Arabidopsis thaliana: one gene and its partner. Each later gene encodes a partner of the first gene's protein in a complex. Each region holds a gene or a part of one and is shown in the gene's direction. Other genes may lie near its edges.

Region 1 (8,119 bases):
ATGAAGTATCAATTCTTGGCTTTGGCAGTGGATTGTGCATCAGTCATTTGCTGTCGAGTGTCTCCCAAGCAGAAGGCTTTGGTATGTATATATATATATATCCTTCCCTTATTCGTTTCATCGCATTCCTCCTTGACTATGCAACTCCCGAAACTTCATACAAAAAAAAGAAAATCTAAATTTATCTATTTTGCTCTTTCCCAAATTCAAGGTTGTTAGGTTGGTTAAAGAGGGAACTGGAAAAACCACATTGGCAATAGGTGATGGTGCAAATGATGTTGGGATGATTCAAGAAGCTGACATTGGTGTAGGAATTAGTGGGGTTGAAGGAATGCAGGTTCAGTTTTTCTCTCAGCACCATGCCTTTTCTGTTTTTCAAGCCATGTTTTCTGTTTCTTGACTAGCAGAAAGTTCATTGAAAATCAAACCATGTCGACATTTTTGCTGATCCTTCTTACTTTTGCAGGCTGTTATGGCTAGTGACTTTTCGATTGCCCAGTTCCGGTTTCTGGAACGATTACTCGTCGTCCACGGACACTGGTGCTACAAAAGGATAGCTCAGATGGTAATATGTAGTTCTTTTGGCCATTTTAGTTACTCTTACATTTAGTTTGTTTCTAACCTTATGTTGTTCTACATCCAGATTTGCTATTTCTTCTACAAAAACATAGCATTTGGTCTCACTCTCTTCTACTTTGAGGCTTTCACCGGGTTTTCCGGGCAATCAGTATACAATGACTACTACTTGTTGCTCTTCAATGTTGTCCTTACCTCATTGCCAGTAATCGCCCTTGGTGTCTTTGAACAGGATGTTTCTTCCGAGATCTGCTTACAGGTAAGCTTTATAAATCTCCCTTCTTGAAAAGCTATTTCGAATCTCTGCTGATCATCGACAATAATCTGTGTTTTTTTCGCTTGTGCTTGTGTAGTTCCCAGCTTTATACCAACAAGGCACAAAGAACCTCTTCTTTGATTGGTCAAGAATACTTGGATGGATGTGCAATGGCGTCTATGCATCTCTTGTCATATTCTTCCTCAACATCGGAATCATTTACTCTCAAGCTTTCAGAGACAATGGCCAAACAGCTGACATGGATGCTGTTGGCACAACCATGTTCACTTGCATAATCTGGGCAGCTAATGTTCAAATCGCGTTAACCATGTCCCATTTCACTTGGATCCAACACGTTTTGATATGGGGAAGCATCGGTATGTGGTATCTCTTTGTGGCTATCTACAGTATGATGCCTCCGAGTTATTCTGGAAACATTTACAGGATTCTTGATGAGATTCTTGCTCCTGCACCTATCTACTGGATGGCTACATTGTTGGTCACAGTGGCTGCAGTTCTTCCTTACGTTGCTCACATTGCATTCCAGAGATTCTTGAATCCATTGGATCATCATATCATCCAAGAGATCAAATACTACGGAAGAGATATTGAAGATGCGAGATTGTGGACCCGAGAGCGTACAAAAGCCCGAGAAAAGACAAAGATCGGATTCACAGCTAGAGTCGATGCGAAAATCAGGCATCTAAGGTCGAAACTGAACAAGAAACAGTCAAATCTCTCACATTTTTCAGCTCAAGACGCAATGTCACCTAGATCATTGTAGCCTTGTATAGTGTTTGTTGTTTTTCTACAGGTCCAATTCTCTGATGCATCAGACTTTGGAGACAGGTCTTGAAGCTAATTTTGTTGAGAGTTTATAATAGAGTGAGATCATGTAAAGAGTAGCCTCTGATGTTTTTTCTACTTGTTGGGTTCGAATTTTTCTTTATCTTGTACACATTATACTTAGGTTTTGTGTATACTTAGGACAGAATGCAAAAAAACATAACAAAGAATCTTCCTTCTGTGCCTCTTCTGTGCCTCTTCTGTGCCTCTAATCATTTAATTGGTCATTTATATAAATTTGTTTATACAAAATCTGTTAAGTGAATCTTGACTTTAGAAAAAAAGAGAGAAATAACTCTCAATAGCAGTGATTTGTAAAATGATTTTCATTTCAACTAGAAATAACTCTCAATTTCATTTCATAAGTTTCCACAAAGAAATATTATAGAAATTGTTGCTTTAGTAAATGGTTTCGTATCCACCAATTGGCATTTAGGTAATTAGGTAATGAAATCTCCAACTTATTTGCGTGTCTGTTACTTTCTAGTTTCTAGTGACTTTAGAGATGAAGTGGTTGGCGAATAAATTAACTTACTTTATACTAATATATTAATTTTAATTTAATTAATTATTCTGGGCCGGGTTTTGCCCAATATGGGTTCAGTACGGCCCAACAACTCCGCAATTATTATTATTTTTCCATGGAGAAAATAAAAAAAGAAAAGAATAATAAGAGAGATTTGGTTAAAATGAGAGTGTAAGCAATTCTGAGTCTATCCCTTCCCTTTTGGGATATTTTCGCCGCGTGGATTGATATGACGACTCTCTTTCGCCGGAAGTCAATCGGAATCCGCGACAACTTCTTCCTTCAATCCCTTTGATTTTTTTTTGGCTCTACTTATCCCAAACCCTTCAAATCTTCAGGTCCAATCTCTTCTTCTATTTGTTTTTTAATTAAAAAAATCCGGCGAAAGGTGAAGCTCTTGGATTCGAGTGGTGGCTAGTAATCGATTTCGGTAGTTTAGAAGTAGTTTATAGGTTTTATCAGCTTTCGATTTGATGGAGCCGCGAGTCGGAAACAAGTTTCGGCTCGGAAGGAAGATCGGCGGTGGATCATTCGGAGAGATCTATCTTGGTATCCTCTTTATTCTGATTCACCTCTCGTTTGTGGTCTCTGTGACTGCGATGATTATATAAGTATTTGTTTTAACATGGTTTTTAGGTACCAATATCCAGACGAATGAAGAAGTGGCTATTAAACTTGTAAGTAATTCCTACTCAAAAAGTGGAACTTTATCATTTTCAGTGTTTAATTGAAGTACATAGAATTTAGTATTGCAATGTAAAGTCTGTACGTATATCTTCATTAAATAAAAGATTGAATTTTCTCGGAAAGTGGGAAGAAAGCTTTGATTGTTGTGAGTTGTGACTTATGTGTAGAAAGACTTCTGTTTATTGCTTGGTCTTTCTTAGCTTGTAGCTTCTCCTTTTACATGTTAAAATCGATCGGAATGAAAACGTTGGTGTACTGTGTTTAGACGAAAAAGGAATAGAATTTTATTTAACAGGCTACACACTGCTTTTTCTACTCTGATCATGCGATTGTTGCAATTTAGTTGAGTTCTTCCTTAAGCTTCCTCTTGATTATCTATGACTGTTTTCATTCAGTATTCAACATGATCAAACCAATATTTCTATAGTTTAAATCTGGGTTCAACCTGACTTTTCCGTAAGAACTGAGATCTATTATTGATTCTTGAGCAAATAGTCTAATTAATGCTGAATCAATTCTTAGAGTCCACGACAAAACTACCTGCAACTGGTGGGACCAACCTATTGAAAATTTTGTTGTGGCCTACAACTGGAGAATTATGAGGCTGACAGCTATACATATTACTGTATTGAACATTGGTTGTTTCTTTTTTCTGTTACCTGTTTGTACTGGTTCTGACTGTTGAGTATGTTAAATCAAATCCTCATGCTTGTTTCACATTTCTTTTTTTGCTCTGAAATGTAACAGATTTATCGTAGTTTGGCTACTGTGTTTGTTGTATATGTTCTGACGGCATCTTTTCTTCTTGTTTCAGGAAAATGTGAAAACTAAGCATCCTCAGTTGCTGTATGAATCAAAGTTGTACAAAGTATTACAAGGAGGAAGTATGGATCTAGTTCTGTACTTGTTTACATTTGTAGTTTGTGATGTCTTTTTTCTTATCCAAGAGGGGTTGCTTTCCTTTCCTTGATTTCTAGCTGGCGTTCCAAACGTTAAATGGTATGGTGTTGAAGGGGACTATAATGTCCTCGTGATAGACTTGTTGGGGCCTAGCCTTGAAGATCTATTCAATTTCTGTAGTAGGAAACTCTCACTAAAGACTGTACTAATGCTTGCAGATCAAATGGTAGGATCCCGTCTATAGCCTGAAAATTGTGTTCTCATGTTGAATAAACGTTTAGGATATCTTTGTTCCTCTTTCAGATCAATCGCATTGAGTTTGTACATCAGAAGTCATTTCTACATCGGGACATCAAGCCTGACAACTTTCTGATGGGTCTTGGAAGGCGTGCAAATCAGGTAGCTGTTGAAAAGGGCTGTTAGTAAAATTTGTTTATTCTCCAGAATTATTTGTTCAACGATTTGTTGACTGAATACAGGTATACGTCATCGACTTTGGTCTGGCAAAGAAGTACAGAGACTCAAATCATCAGCATATTCCATATAGGTTGGTTATAGCCCTATGATTTTCTTTGGGTCTGTTATTTATTTACGCCTATGTAGACTTTTTAAAAAAAAAAATCTTTTACTAGCTTGTGTGACTGTTGTCTAACTTAAAATTCTTCTATGTAACACATCCCTGTAAAAGGGTGGAGTCATCTTTATCCTCAGGATATATGGCTATTCAGGATAACTGTCGTTTTAGTATTGACTCAGGATATATAGCTTATTTCCCCTTTTTTTACGAAGATGCATTAGTATATGAGAAAATCATTTTAATGTATTGCTAGGAAGTATGATTGCAGTATATGATGTTTCTTCATATCAATTATAATTCTAATATTTTGTGTATCACAGGGAAAACAAAAACTTGACTGGAACTGCTAGATACGCTAGCATGAACACTCACCTTGGCATTGGTAATACCAGTTCATTTAGTTTCTAACTTTCTAATTATTTTAAAGAACGTAATTCTGGATAGGTAATTGCTATTTTATTACAGAACAAAGTCGTAGAGATGATTTGGAGTCACTTGGATTCGTTCTCATGTACTTCTTAAAAGGAAGGTATGTACCTCTCTTCCGTACCTGTTGGCATGTTGCTATTGGTTCTTTTTCGGCGGCATTTGGCTTACTTATCCAATGTAATGCAGTCTTCCTTGGCAAGGACTGAAAGCTGGCAATAAGAAGCAAAAGTATGAGAAAATCAGTGAAAAGAAAGTATCGACATCTATTGAGGTAAAATAATGTTCTGATACCTGTGTTGGTGACACCTATGGTTTAATACTGATTAAATATTCTATTCTTCTTTTAGGCTTTATGCCGAGGTTATCCATCTGAATTTGCATCTTATTTCCATTATTGCCGTTCTCTGAGATTTGACGACAAGCCAGACTATGCCTACCTGAAACGGCTTTTCCGCGACCTGTTTATTCGTGAAGGTTTGGTCCCCTCAATCACTTATGTTAATTCTAGTCTTGTGAAGCAAATATAACTTGGACCAGTTAATCAACATGTTAATTTGAGTTTGCGTCATCTGCTTATATTAGGCTTCCAGTTTGATTATGTATTTGATTGGACGATCTTGAAGTATCAGCAATCACAGATTTCTACTCCTCCTCCTCGTCATCATGTAAGAATCAGTTTTTCTTTTCCGAATGTCATCGTCCTACTTAAACTCTGCTGAATATGTACCTTTCTTCCAGGGTCCTGTAGTTGGGCCAAGCTCTGCCCTCCCCCCTGCCATTACCAGTGCTGAGAGGCCATCAGGTAGTTCCATCTATTTCGAGTAGTTTTTTTCCAAATTTCATTACGCATTTGGCTATGTTACTCTGTTCTATAGGGGCATGGTTTTCACCCATCTGATGTGTTCTTTGCAGGTGGCGACGAAGCTAGACCTTCTGGCTGGTCATCAGGAATCCCTAGACGAAATTCTGGACAAATTTTTAACTCAGGAAGCTTAGCTAAACAAAAAGCACCAGTTTCAAGTGATCCTGCAATATCTAAAGATGTAGTGGTGAGTACATAAAATTACCCCCCATGTTACAGGTATCCAATTCTTTAGCTGCTGATTTGAAGAAATAAACATAAGGTTCTGTATTGCTTGTATACACAAGGATTGGCAGCTGAATTTTAGTTTCTTGGATTCTTGTTCTTTGTATTAATGGTAACTGAGCTGTTTGTTTTTCTTGTGACAGTTATCAAGCTCTAGCTTTCTCCGCGCAACTGGGTCATCAAGACGTGCTGCTGTATCCAGTAGTCGCGAAGCTGCAGTTCTGGGAACTGATTCTGAGCCATCAAACCCTCAAATCGTTGAAGCTGGATCAGGCTCCAATTCAAAGATCCCTGTTAGTCGAAACTCACCTATCGTCTCATCTGAGATCAACAAGCTATCATCACCTTCAAGGGCGACTACTTCAGTCATGAAGAACTATGAGGCTAATCTTAAAGGGATCGAGAGTCTGCATTTTTAGTCGTTGGGGCCAGTGAATGATCTTGAAACCCCGGGACAAGTGTAAATTAAAAGACAAAGATGACCTCTCTTAGGCCCTCCTCATGTTTTACGTGCATTTGTGTTTACAGGGAGGGAGACTTGTGCCTCTAAGCACACACTCTAATAACATAGATAAGGAAAAGACTCTGAAGAAGTGATTTTCAGAGAAAGACAAACTCAAAAGAGGGCGAGACTAAAAAGTCAAAAGACTTTTAACACTTTTATTCCCCATTTGGTTTTACACTGTTTATGTTGTGTTTGTCTTGTTTGGTACTGCAACAGCTAAAATCGTTTGTGCTTCAAAAAGGTTTTAAGTTCTTAGAACTATTCCTCGGGCTGCAAAAAAACGTACAAAAGAAAGAAGGTTTTATATTGAGTATCTTCTCATATGGTGTGGGTAAAAATGGTCATTTTTGTTGGTAAAAATAGTGAAATGAGAGCTATAATTCATGGACAGATGCAATAATTGTTCTGGTCTTCCTTAAAGAGGATCTGAGAGTTGCATCTTCTGGTTATGTCATACTTCATCATGTCTACGAATGAATCAATGAAGTATATTGTAAATGCTAAATCGTATTTATCGTAGCTTAAGTTGTTACAGCAATCATCATACTTAGAAGGGTACCCTACTTAGAACAAGAATAAAAACAGACAAGTTCAATGGGGGAAACAAGAGAAGAAGATTGGGAAGATTTGTGGTTGGATCACCACAAACCATAGACAGCGTTTGAACAAGTCTCCTTGAACCATTTGAAGCTTTTCTTCATAGATCCTTTCACTCTCCCTTCAACACCATACACATTATAAGAAGCCACTCTCTTCTTCCTCTGAATCTCTGCCTCACACAAACCCTTAAATCCTTTCTTCTTCACCTTATTGCTTCTCTTCGATTTATTGTTGGAGTCGTCTCTCACAATTGTTGGATTCTGGTATGCATTATAAGTTGATGTACTGTAAGATCTCATCATCACTGGTGGCTGCTGGTTTGTTGGTTCTGATTCTGATTTTTCTCCATGACTGAAGCAATGGTACTTGTTGGTGATGCTGCTACTTCTGGTCTCTTCTCTGCATGACTTAGATCTGAACATCTTCACTTGCAAACAAACCTCAAAAAAAGATTGCTCTGCTTTTTTAGGAAGAAAAAGGAGATAGTTGCTTTTGGGTTTTATCTCCAACCTCTTTCTCTTCTGCTTTTTGTCACTTGCGAGTTTTTGACATATTTATAGAATGAGACATCACCTCTATATCTTGTTCAATATTTAGTGCAGTAATCACAACCTCAATACTGTATCTATTTAGTTACTCGAAGTTTTTTTTGTTTGTATATTGTTTTAGATGAGATTTGTTTGTTACATTTAAAAAAAAAACATTACTAGCGATTAGTTATCACTGTACTTAGTACAGTTTTGCATATTTATTTTTCCTAAGAAAATTTTGTAAGATCTCATGTCCTTTGGATTTACACATGGCCGCTTCTCACTTCATGAATTCGAGGGAAATTTTTGGGGCTCGTCCCCAACCTTATGTAGTATATATTTATTGTAAATTCAAGAGTAGAAAACTAGAAAATCAACAAAAGTTCATTAATGAAACTCAAGTAGAGAAAAGTCTTTAGTCTCATAGAGTATCCTTCCTTGTAAGCCACGTTCACAAAAAGATAAATAATGCCGAAATTCTTGATTGCCAAAAAAGCAAAATCATGTAATGAGTTATGTTCGCTTTTAGCCAAGAACTATAAATCTAAGTAGTAGCCTGAAAACAAAAATCAAAGCATAGAGAAGCTGCCAAAAAAAGGG
Region 2 (8,024 bases), on another chromosome or scaffold:
TCTCATTTCCAAAGTATTGACAAGCAAACGCAAATTCCAACAACTATTAAGATGAAGCAAACCTTTGCAGGAGCTCGTTCAAAAGCCATCTCAACATAGACAATAGCAAAGTTCCTAACCATAGGAGCAGCAGCAGGATCTGTGTACAATTTCCATAAAGCCAATAAAGGCAAACCAATTTCATGCTGATGCTTCACTCTCTTGTTAACATGACTCAATATCTCAAGAACCTGAAAAATGAAATCAACACACACTAAGAATCAATATGAAATCGTCAAACACTAAATTCAGAGGAAGAGCTCGTAAATCTCTGACTTGCCTTGTTGCGAACAACGGGAGATTGAGAAGAAAGAGAAGATATGGTAAGAGGAAGGAGGTTAGAGACTAGGGATTCGAGCTTGGAGTCGTCGCAAAGAGCGAGTCTCGTCAGCATCCGATCGAGCATTTCCTCCAACTCAGCGTCCGATTTGGAAATTAACGAAGACGAAGATGAAGAACCTTCCATAGCTAATCTCAGAAATTTGTTGAGTTGCAGAGATTTATCAGTGCTTCTTTGCTTCTTCTTTGGTTCTTCTCTTCTTATGCTTTTCCTTAGTCTCTCCCGTCTTGGCGGACAAGAGAACTATGGCTGGTCTAAACGACGTCGTGTTGTATCCCATTAGGCATATTGGGCCTCTAATCCACAGCCCATCCTAGCCCGCATTTGCCATTTTTCTCACAAGTCCTTTGGTTTTTTAGGCAACTTCTTGTTTTCAGCAATTTTATTGTTTGGCCGTGTTTGTCAGAGAAAATAACCCACCACTTGTGTGAGTTGAATGTCTCAAACAGACTAGTAGACTTCAATGATATTTATGGCAATGATTGAGTGGTATGGCCGAGAAACTAACAGGTATCATGCTGATGGGTTTGATAACCAACCAATTGAAATCCACTTTCACTCCTCTATTCAGGTTTGAGGCAATATCTTCATTGATTAAATCACAACCATTCCAGATTAAGCTTATATGTGGTAAGGTAACAATTTATTAAAAAAATTGTTCTTCTTCATGAGGACAGAGCCCGTAAAAGAGTTAGATAAGGTGGCTAACAACAATATACCAAAGGACTTTGTATATATGCAAGACTTTGTATAGGGCAAAAATATGCAAGATTTTGTTAACATGAAAGGTTTTTAGAGGTGATGCAAGATTTTGACATTTTTTGTTTGTACTATTTTTGTTGGATGATCCTATCTTTTTTTTTTTAATTTATCAAAAAGAAAAGCCTAATTTAGGATATTGTATGATTTAATTAAAATAGTTGTGGCTTTACTCGTGATTGGTGATCTTGTGATTGGTGGGTTTTGAGAAGTTTTGCCTCGCTTCTTGTCCTTCTTTTACAATTTTGTCGTAATCTGATTGTTTTTTGAAGGATTCTATCTAGACGTTAAGTGACGAATTGGTGGTCATCGTCGTATCTGGAATGGTGTTTGTGTTTCTTTTAGTGGTCTTGCATGTCGGGTTATGATATCCTTGGTTCTCGAGAGATTGGCTCTCAACGTGATAGGAGGTGGTAAATGTTATTTTGGATTTGATCAATCGTACTTGCAGGTGTGTTAAAAGAAGTGGAGTTTCTGCTTTGTTGGATCTCTTATTTTTTTAAGATTTTGTCTTGTTAATATGGATCTTAGTTTGTACTATCGTCCTTTTTCGAGATTGGTTTGATATTTTCTGCATTATAATTTGAGTTTACTTCATCTTCTTTATTTAGGATCTAGATTCCGAAGAATTCTCTTTTTCCGCCAGCTTATGTTTTTTTGGGAACTTATAGTTTATCCGCCAATTTACGTTTTTTTTGTTTGGGCATTATATTTTACGTCTTTCACAACAAGATTCTATAATTTCTTTATGACAAAAAAAAAAATAAAAAGTAAAAAAAAATAAATCCCCATGACCAAAAAAAGTTTTGGCTTTACCAAATTTGTGTAAGAAAGGTCTAAGTTTCACACCAAACCACTCTTATTAGTGTCATCATTTTGATTACTTTCCCTTTTAAAAAACAATTAAAAAGAATATCGTGGCAGTTAAACACGAAACAGAACCCGTGACCGCTCTGTGATTTTTAAGTTTCAGACAACAACAGTCCGACAGCGACACACATCAACCGGAGTTGAAAATTATGCAACAATTTATTACCTAAACCAGAAAAACTTTTAAACAAAACTAAATTAAAAAAAAAAGAAAAAAAGAAAAAAGACAGTGTTTCCACCAAAGCCACAATTTTTTCACGGTCTTTGCTTTTTAGTAAAGCTAATGCTTACGACTCTCTCAAACTTCACTTTTTGCCTTCTCCTCAGACCAAATCTTCTTCTTCTTCCTTCTCTGTTCTCGACGACCTTCTCAAATTCGATCTCAACTCAAAACATTTGTCTGATCCATTAATCGGATTCAGGTGAGAAGTGTTTAGCTTTGTTCTCTTGAAAATCTCCGACGTTGTTCGTGATTATTGCAGTATTTTGTGTTCTGATTTTCGATTTCAAGTTCTTAAAATTTGACTTTCAATTTCTATCTTCTTTGAAATTTGTTACTAAATTGGTATATGGGTAGTTGTTGTTAGCTCTTTTGTTTGGTAATCTAGGGTTTTGACATCCATCAATTCTTTATCTCTGTAGCTATAAAATGTTTTTAAATGTGTGTTGAATCCATTGTTATTTCCAACATTGGCGTAGGTACTGAAAAAAACAATGTTTTGTTTTTGTTGTTTTAGATTTTTGTGAAGATTCAACAACAGATCTGTGAGTCCATTGGAGTATATTACTATTCATAGTGGTTAGACATCTACTAGCATTTTCTGTCTTTTATTTTGTTTTTGTCTAAGCATTTTTGGTTTTGTTTATAAACAGATACAATGACAAGGGTTACACGCGATTTTCGGGATTCATTACAGAGAGATGGTGTTCCTGCAGTATCAGCAGATGTGAAATTTGCTTCAAGTAGATTTCCTAATTATAGAATTGGAGCTAATGATCAAATATTTGATGTTAAAGACGATCCTAAAGTGATGTCCATGAAAGAGGTTGTTGCGCGTGAGACAGCGCAGCTTATGGACCAGCAGAAACGTTTGTCTGTTCGTGACCTCGCTCATAAATTTGAGAAGGGTTTGGCTGCAGCTGCTAAGCTATCTGAGGAGGTCTGATATTATTCTCTTTTTGTTGAGGTCTTATAGATGAAATGTGTCTCTTGTATTGTTACTATCTTTGGTTACTATGTAATGAGTTGATTTGCACATTTATGTTAGTTTTTGTGTTGATTGAGTCTACTAAATAGGATTTAATAAGAGGGATTTTAATTCGGTGATAACCTTACTTTTTGTTAGCAAAGAATTTTTTGTTGTTATAAATACAGAAATAGGGGATCAAGAAGGCTAATCTAGGTTGCTAAAGTGAAAATATGATATGATTGAAAAAAAAATTTAAGGCTAATTTGGTTGGGAACGAATGCAGGCAAAACTCAAAGAAGCAACTTCGTTGGAGAAACATGTTCTTTTAAAGAAACTTCGAGATGCATTGGAGTCTCTAAGAGGACGTGTGGCAGGTAGAAACAAGGATGATGTAGAGGAAGCCATTGCCATGGTTAGTCTTTTACTCTTTTATAGTCTTTTAGTCATCATATTTAGCTCCGTTCCTTTACATGGTGATATATATCGCCTCTAGCCTTTTCTACAAACCGAAATGTGTTTTTTTCCATTTTCAGTTCTGCGTTCTTAAATTGTCTCACAATCCCCATTACCAACATTTTTCCCTTCCACCTCTATATCTTAAGTATGTTTGGAATTTTGAATTCTGCTAGGTTGAAGCTCTAGCTGTTCAGTTGACTCAGCGAGAAGGAGAGCTATTCATAGAAAAAGCGGAAGTGAAAAAGCTAGCGTCTTTTTTAAAGCAGGTAAAGTGTGCCTTTGAGACAGTGACAATATTTTCTTTTCTCGTGTCACTTGAGGTGAATAGTTAGGAGACGTCTATGTCATTTCACTTGAAACAACCAAGTCCTCTAAAATAGCAAATACGTTTTCGTCCACGGCTTAATACCATGCAGTTTTTGTTAGTCCTTGAGCTAACCAGATGATTAAGAGAGAGTCTGTCCTTTTTGTTTTCATTTGAGTAGTTTATATTCTATTACTTTTGACAAAGAACTATGATGTAGTTTCTTTACAGACATAATCTTTCACTTACTATTCTTGATTCTTTTTCTTATCTTGCTTGGGACATTTGTATTAGTCTTCTGTTGTCGGTTGTAAATTAGTGGTTACTAGATGGGCTAGCTTGAAAAAGATGCAGATGTGTTCTAATAATCTTGCTGATTAGTGGGTATGATTTTTTAACTAGGCCTCAGAGGATGCTAAGAAACTTGTCGACGAGGAAAGAGCGTTTGCACGTGCTGAGATTGAAAGTGCAAGAGCAGCTGTACAAAGAGTTGAAGAAGCCCTGCGAGAACATGAACAGATGTCTCGTGCCTCTGGGAAACAAGTATTTTAGTGATGGCTTCTATCATAATCTTGTAAATGTCCTATGCTTATAACATTGATTCGTGTTAACAGAGTATTGTTATAATTTATCGTATCAGGACATGGAAGATCTAATGAAGGAAGTTCAAGAAGCTAGGCGGATTAAAATGCTGCATCAACCAAGCAGGGTAGGTAGATGAAAGATGGTTTATCTCTTGGGTTTAAATGGCTTTATCTGTCTGTCTAAGTCGATGCTTCTTTAGTATCTTATGTTGTTTTTAAAAAGTCAAATCATGTGTATTGTTTTAGGTAATGGATATGGAATATGAGCTTCGAGCACTAAGAAATCAGCTTGCAGAGAAATCAAAACATTTTCTTCAACTACAAAAGAAGGTTAGTTGGATCCATATTCCATACACATATATATTCTATTTAGTGCATTCCAGGTCCTTTTGATGTCTTAACTTCCACATTTGTGACTGTATGCGGTTGACAAATAGTGGATTCTGATACTATATACATTTTTCTATGATTCAGCTCGCAATGTGCAGAAAGAGCGAGGAAAATATATCCCTTGTATATGAAATAGATGGCACTGAAGCTCTAGGATCTTGTTTGCGAGTTAGACCTTGCTCCAATGATGCACCTGATCTTTCCAAGTGTACGATACAATGGTACCGTTCATCTTCAGATGGCTCCAAGAAGGAGCTTATATCAGGTCCACTCACCTTTCTCATTGTTTTCTTTCTCTTATTATATTTGAGTTTTAAAATGTTCTGTTCTGTGAGCTAGTCGATTACAAATCAGATTGTTTCTTCTAACTAATGATTTTGGAATTGTGAACAATATATTTCCAAAGGCTGGTGTAAATAGGGCAAAATCAAGTTTAACATTGTTCCCATTGAGGAAAATGTTTCCTAACTATGTTCCTATCTCAGGTGCCACAAAATCAGTTTACGCTCCCGAGCCTTTTGACGTTGGACGAGTCTTGCATGCAGATATCATCTACGATGGCCATTCGCTTTCGTTATCCACAGTGGGAAAGATTGATCCAGGTTCATTGTTATGTTATTTACTGTAAAAGGTTATTGTTTATGTCAACATGATCAAATGGTTTGTGTAGGTTCTGTCACTTAGTAGATATTACTTAACTTTGACAAATCAACAAACACGGTCCTGATTTTCGTCATTACTAGATGATTTATCAAACATAACAAAGTCTTGATTTGGTGCAGCTGCTGGATTGGGTAGCTATGTCGAGGCATTAGTACGGAAACACGATGTTGATTTCAATGTAAGGTTTCTCTAACACTCGGAATTAGTATTTATATATTTGGTGCTTGTATGTATATTATATTTCCCCTTATTGTAATTTACAGGTAGTTGTGACCCAAATGAGTGGGGAAGACCATACATCAGAATCTATCCACTTGTTTCATGTTGGTAAAATGAGGATAAAACTTTGCAAGGGAAAGACAGTGATTGCAAAAGAGTACTACTCTAGTGCAATGCAGGTAAGGATACTACTTTACCCCGAGAAAATTGTCATATTTTTAGTGTTACACGGTGAGATCTATAATATCATAATCTTTGATGATCATATTGAGTAGCTATGTGGAGTGAGAGGAGGTGGAAATGCTGCAGCTCAGGCATTGTATTGGCAGGCGAAGAAAGGAGTGTCATTTGTGATAGCTTTTGAGTCTGAGAGAGAAAGAAACGCTGCGATCATGCTTGCACGAAGATTTGCTTGTGATTGTAATGTAAGTATAACTAAGATGGAGTTAGAAACTTTGGTTTTTGTAGAGAGAGGTGTTGATGTAAGTATGAAACTGATGTGTTGCAGGTGACACTTGCTGGTCCAGAAGACAGAACAGAGACGGGTCAAAGCCCTTGAAGAACGGCTCTTACCTAAGTTGTGATTTTTAGTATCCGTAAGAGCTTATTTGTTTTGTAGTTTATATAGGTTTTAGGCATTTGTTTGAATTGTACTTGTATTGTGTGTAAAAATATCGAGCAGTGAAGTAAGAGGTGATGGTGAATCTATATGTAACGGGTGGCTTGTGTTTATTCATTTGTTTTGATCTTACTTGCCCTTGAGGTAATATAACGGATTGCTTGTTTTGGACTGGATCCCAAAGCATACAATATATTGCAAGTGAATCACAGCCAAAATCCTGCAACAAACCCGAAAATCCATGATCGTCGATCATTCTCACTAACCGATCTCACAGAGATTCCAATGTTAAAACCAAACAACAACAAAAAGATAGAACAAAAGAGAGAGATCATCACAACTACATGATCAACAACTAAAGTAGACTAGGGTTTTGTTCCTTCATGCACAAGAAACAGTTAAGTTGTCATGCGAAGGAAGAAGAGCAAACCACATTGGTCCACCGTCCACCTCATCACTCTTCCTTCTGCGAATCCAGCTGCCCTTAGATGCATATCAAATTTAACATGTGACAAAGTCACAAAGTTTTGATATAGTGGAACTACACAAAAGTAGTGTTATCGCAATTGTCTCATCAACAAAGCCAACACTAACCCTCAAAATCAAAAAGCTCGATTTAGAGGTTTGAAACGCAGTTTCGAAGGAAGAGAGGAAAAAAACGGGAATGAATATATATCCAAGTGATTTATGGTTTTTAGATTCGTCAATAAACGAATTTATGTCTTTAGATTAGTAACCAAAGATTTCATTTTAACTAGAAGATATCTGTGACAAAAAGAGTTAAAAATTCCAAAACGTAATTTGAGGAATCCAAGGAAACTGAAGATAAATGAAACCACACTTAAAAACTTGTTCATGGTTAACATCATTATCTTTGACGGGATCATACAGAGGATCAATGTAAAAACCAAAAAAAGAAAAAAGAAAGAAAGAACACAAAGAGATCATGACAGCTACATGATCAACAAAAGCAGACTAGGGTTTTGTTTCTTCATGCACAAGAAACAGAGAAGTCGTCAAGCGAAGGAAGAAGAGCAACTTCAGCGTTTTCTGAGACAGAGTATTTCTTGAACACTGCTATTAGCTTACTCTCTGAAGCCGAGTCCCTTAACTTCATCAGCATTTTCGCATGCTCCCTGAAAACAACCAGACCAAACCAGTTTAGTCATGACAGCTAAAAATGGAAATCCAATAATAACATAGAGCAAGGATTAGTGTAGATTAGCTTACATAATCTCATCTTCCGAGTAGCCAGTGTGATGTTTCAAGGTCTCAGTCCAAAATGGCGTCTTCTTAAGGATCTGACGCGCAGCATAAACCGCTGATGCAGCCAGCATCGATGGACGGTTTAAGACAACTATAGGATACTGCATAAGTCCCAGCTCAGCCAAGTAGAACACCAATTTCTCCATCTCAGCATCACATGGAACCGCAGCTTTAACGTATCGCGCAAGGAACACATAAGGAGTTGGAACAGTGATGTACCATTCAACTTGTCCTAAGATCGATTTCTCCATAGCCAAAACCTGTTTCCTGTTATAGGCATTGTCCGAAATACAGACGAAATCATTAACCTCAGGAGCCCAAATCT

What was found. Proteins that work in one complex are often made in the same cells at the same time.
Region 2: the proteins of CKL2 (region 1) and SCAB1 are in contact, whole or in part, in a crystal structure (PDB 8Y47), measured with the Arabidopsis thaliana proteins. Residues at the interface, in NP_177415.1 of Arabidopsis thaliana: Asp366 (codon at 5,820), Ala368 (codon at 5,826), Ile369 (codon at 5,829), Ser370 (codon at 5,832), Lys371 (codon at 5,835), Asp372 (codon at 5,838), Val373 (codon at 5,841), Val374 (codon at 5,844), Leu375 (codon at 6,028), Phe380 (codon at 6,043); in NP_001323795.1 of Arabidopsis thaliana: Ser326, Gly327, Lys330, Asn385, Val386, Val387, Thr389, Gln390, Asp395, Cys432, Val434, Arg435, Gly436, Gly437, Gly438, Asn439, Ala440, Ala441, Gln443, Ala444, Tyr446, Ser454, Val456, Ala458, Phe459, Glu460, Pro486.

The regions. Positions count from the first base shown.
Region 1 is NC_003070.9:27,369,876-27,377,994, forward strand, and holds CKL2 (casein kinase 1-like protein 2), read left to right. Parts: upstream 1-2,321; 5' UTR 2,322-2,677; coding exon 2,678-2,753; intron 2,754-2,840; coding exon 2,841-2,881; intron 2,882-3,705; coding exon 3,706-3,775; intron 3,776-3,868; coding exon 3,869-4,017; intron 4,018-4,094; coding exon 4,095-4,190; intron 4,191-4,270; coding exon 4,271-4,338; intron 4,339-4,688; coding exon 4,689-4,750; intron 4,751-4,833; coding exon 4,834-4,897; intron 4,898-4,983; coding exon 4,984-5,068; intron 5,069-5,144; coding exon 5,145-5,271; intron 5,272-5,379; coding exon 5,380-5,462; intron 5,463-5,535; coding exon 5,536-5,599; intron 5,600-5,709; coding exon 5,710-5,846; intron 5,847-6,027; coding exon 6,028-6,303; 3' UTR 6,304-6,855; downstream 6,856-8,119. Other genes in the region: AT1G72700 (ATPase E1-E2 type family protein / haloacid dehalogenase-like hydrolase family protein), read left to right, coding at 1-81, 212-337, 467-565, 644-835, 930-1,616; AT1G72720 (hypothetical protein (DUF3511)), read right to left, coding at 7,028-7,411. UniProt on the Arabidopsis thaliana protein: Casein kinases are operationally defined by their preferential utilization of acidic proteins such as caseins as substrates. It can phosphorylate a large number of proteins.
Region 2 is NC_003071.7:11,402,606-11,410,629, reverse strand, and holds SCAB1 (plectin-like protein), read left to right. Parts: upstream 1-2,208; 5' UTR 2,209-2,430; intron 2,431-2,745; exon of another isoform or gene 2,746-2,807; intron 2,808-2,881; 5' UTR 2,882-2,886; coding exon 2,887-3,168; intron 3,169-3,481; coding exon 3,482-3,610; intron 3,611-3,827; coding exon 3,828-3,920; intron 3,921-4,360; coding exon 4,361-4,501; intron 4,502-4,598; coding exon 4,599-4,667; intron 4,668-4,788; coding exon 4,789-4,872; intron 4,873-5,016; coding exon 5,017-5,197; intron 5,198-5,417; coding exon 5,418-5,534; intron 5,535-5,714; coding exon 5,715-5,773; intron 5,774-5,858; coding exon 5,859-5,993; intron 5,994-6,089; coding exon 6,090-6,239; intron 6,240-6,322; coding exon 6,323-6,373; 3' UTR 6,374-6,651; downstream 6,652-8,024. Other genes in the region: AT2G26780 (ARM repeat superfamily protein), read right to left, coding at 63-230, 320-505; CYCB1;4 (Cyclin B1;4), read right to left, coding at 7,425-7,569, 7,664-8,024. UniProt on the Arabidopsis thaliana protein: Plant-specific actin binding protein that bundles and stabilizes microfilaments (MFs). Has no nucleation or capping activity. Regulates MF reorganization during stomatal closure. The binding to F-actin is insensitive to Ca(2+) and pH.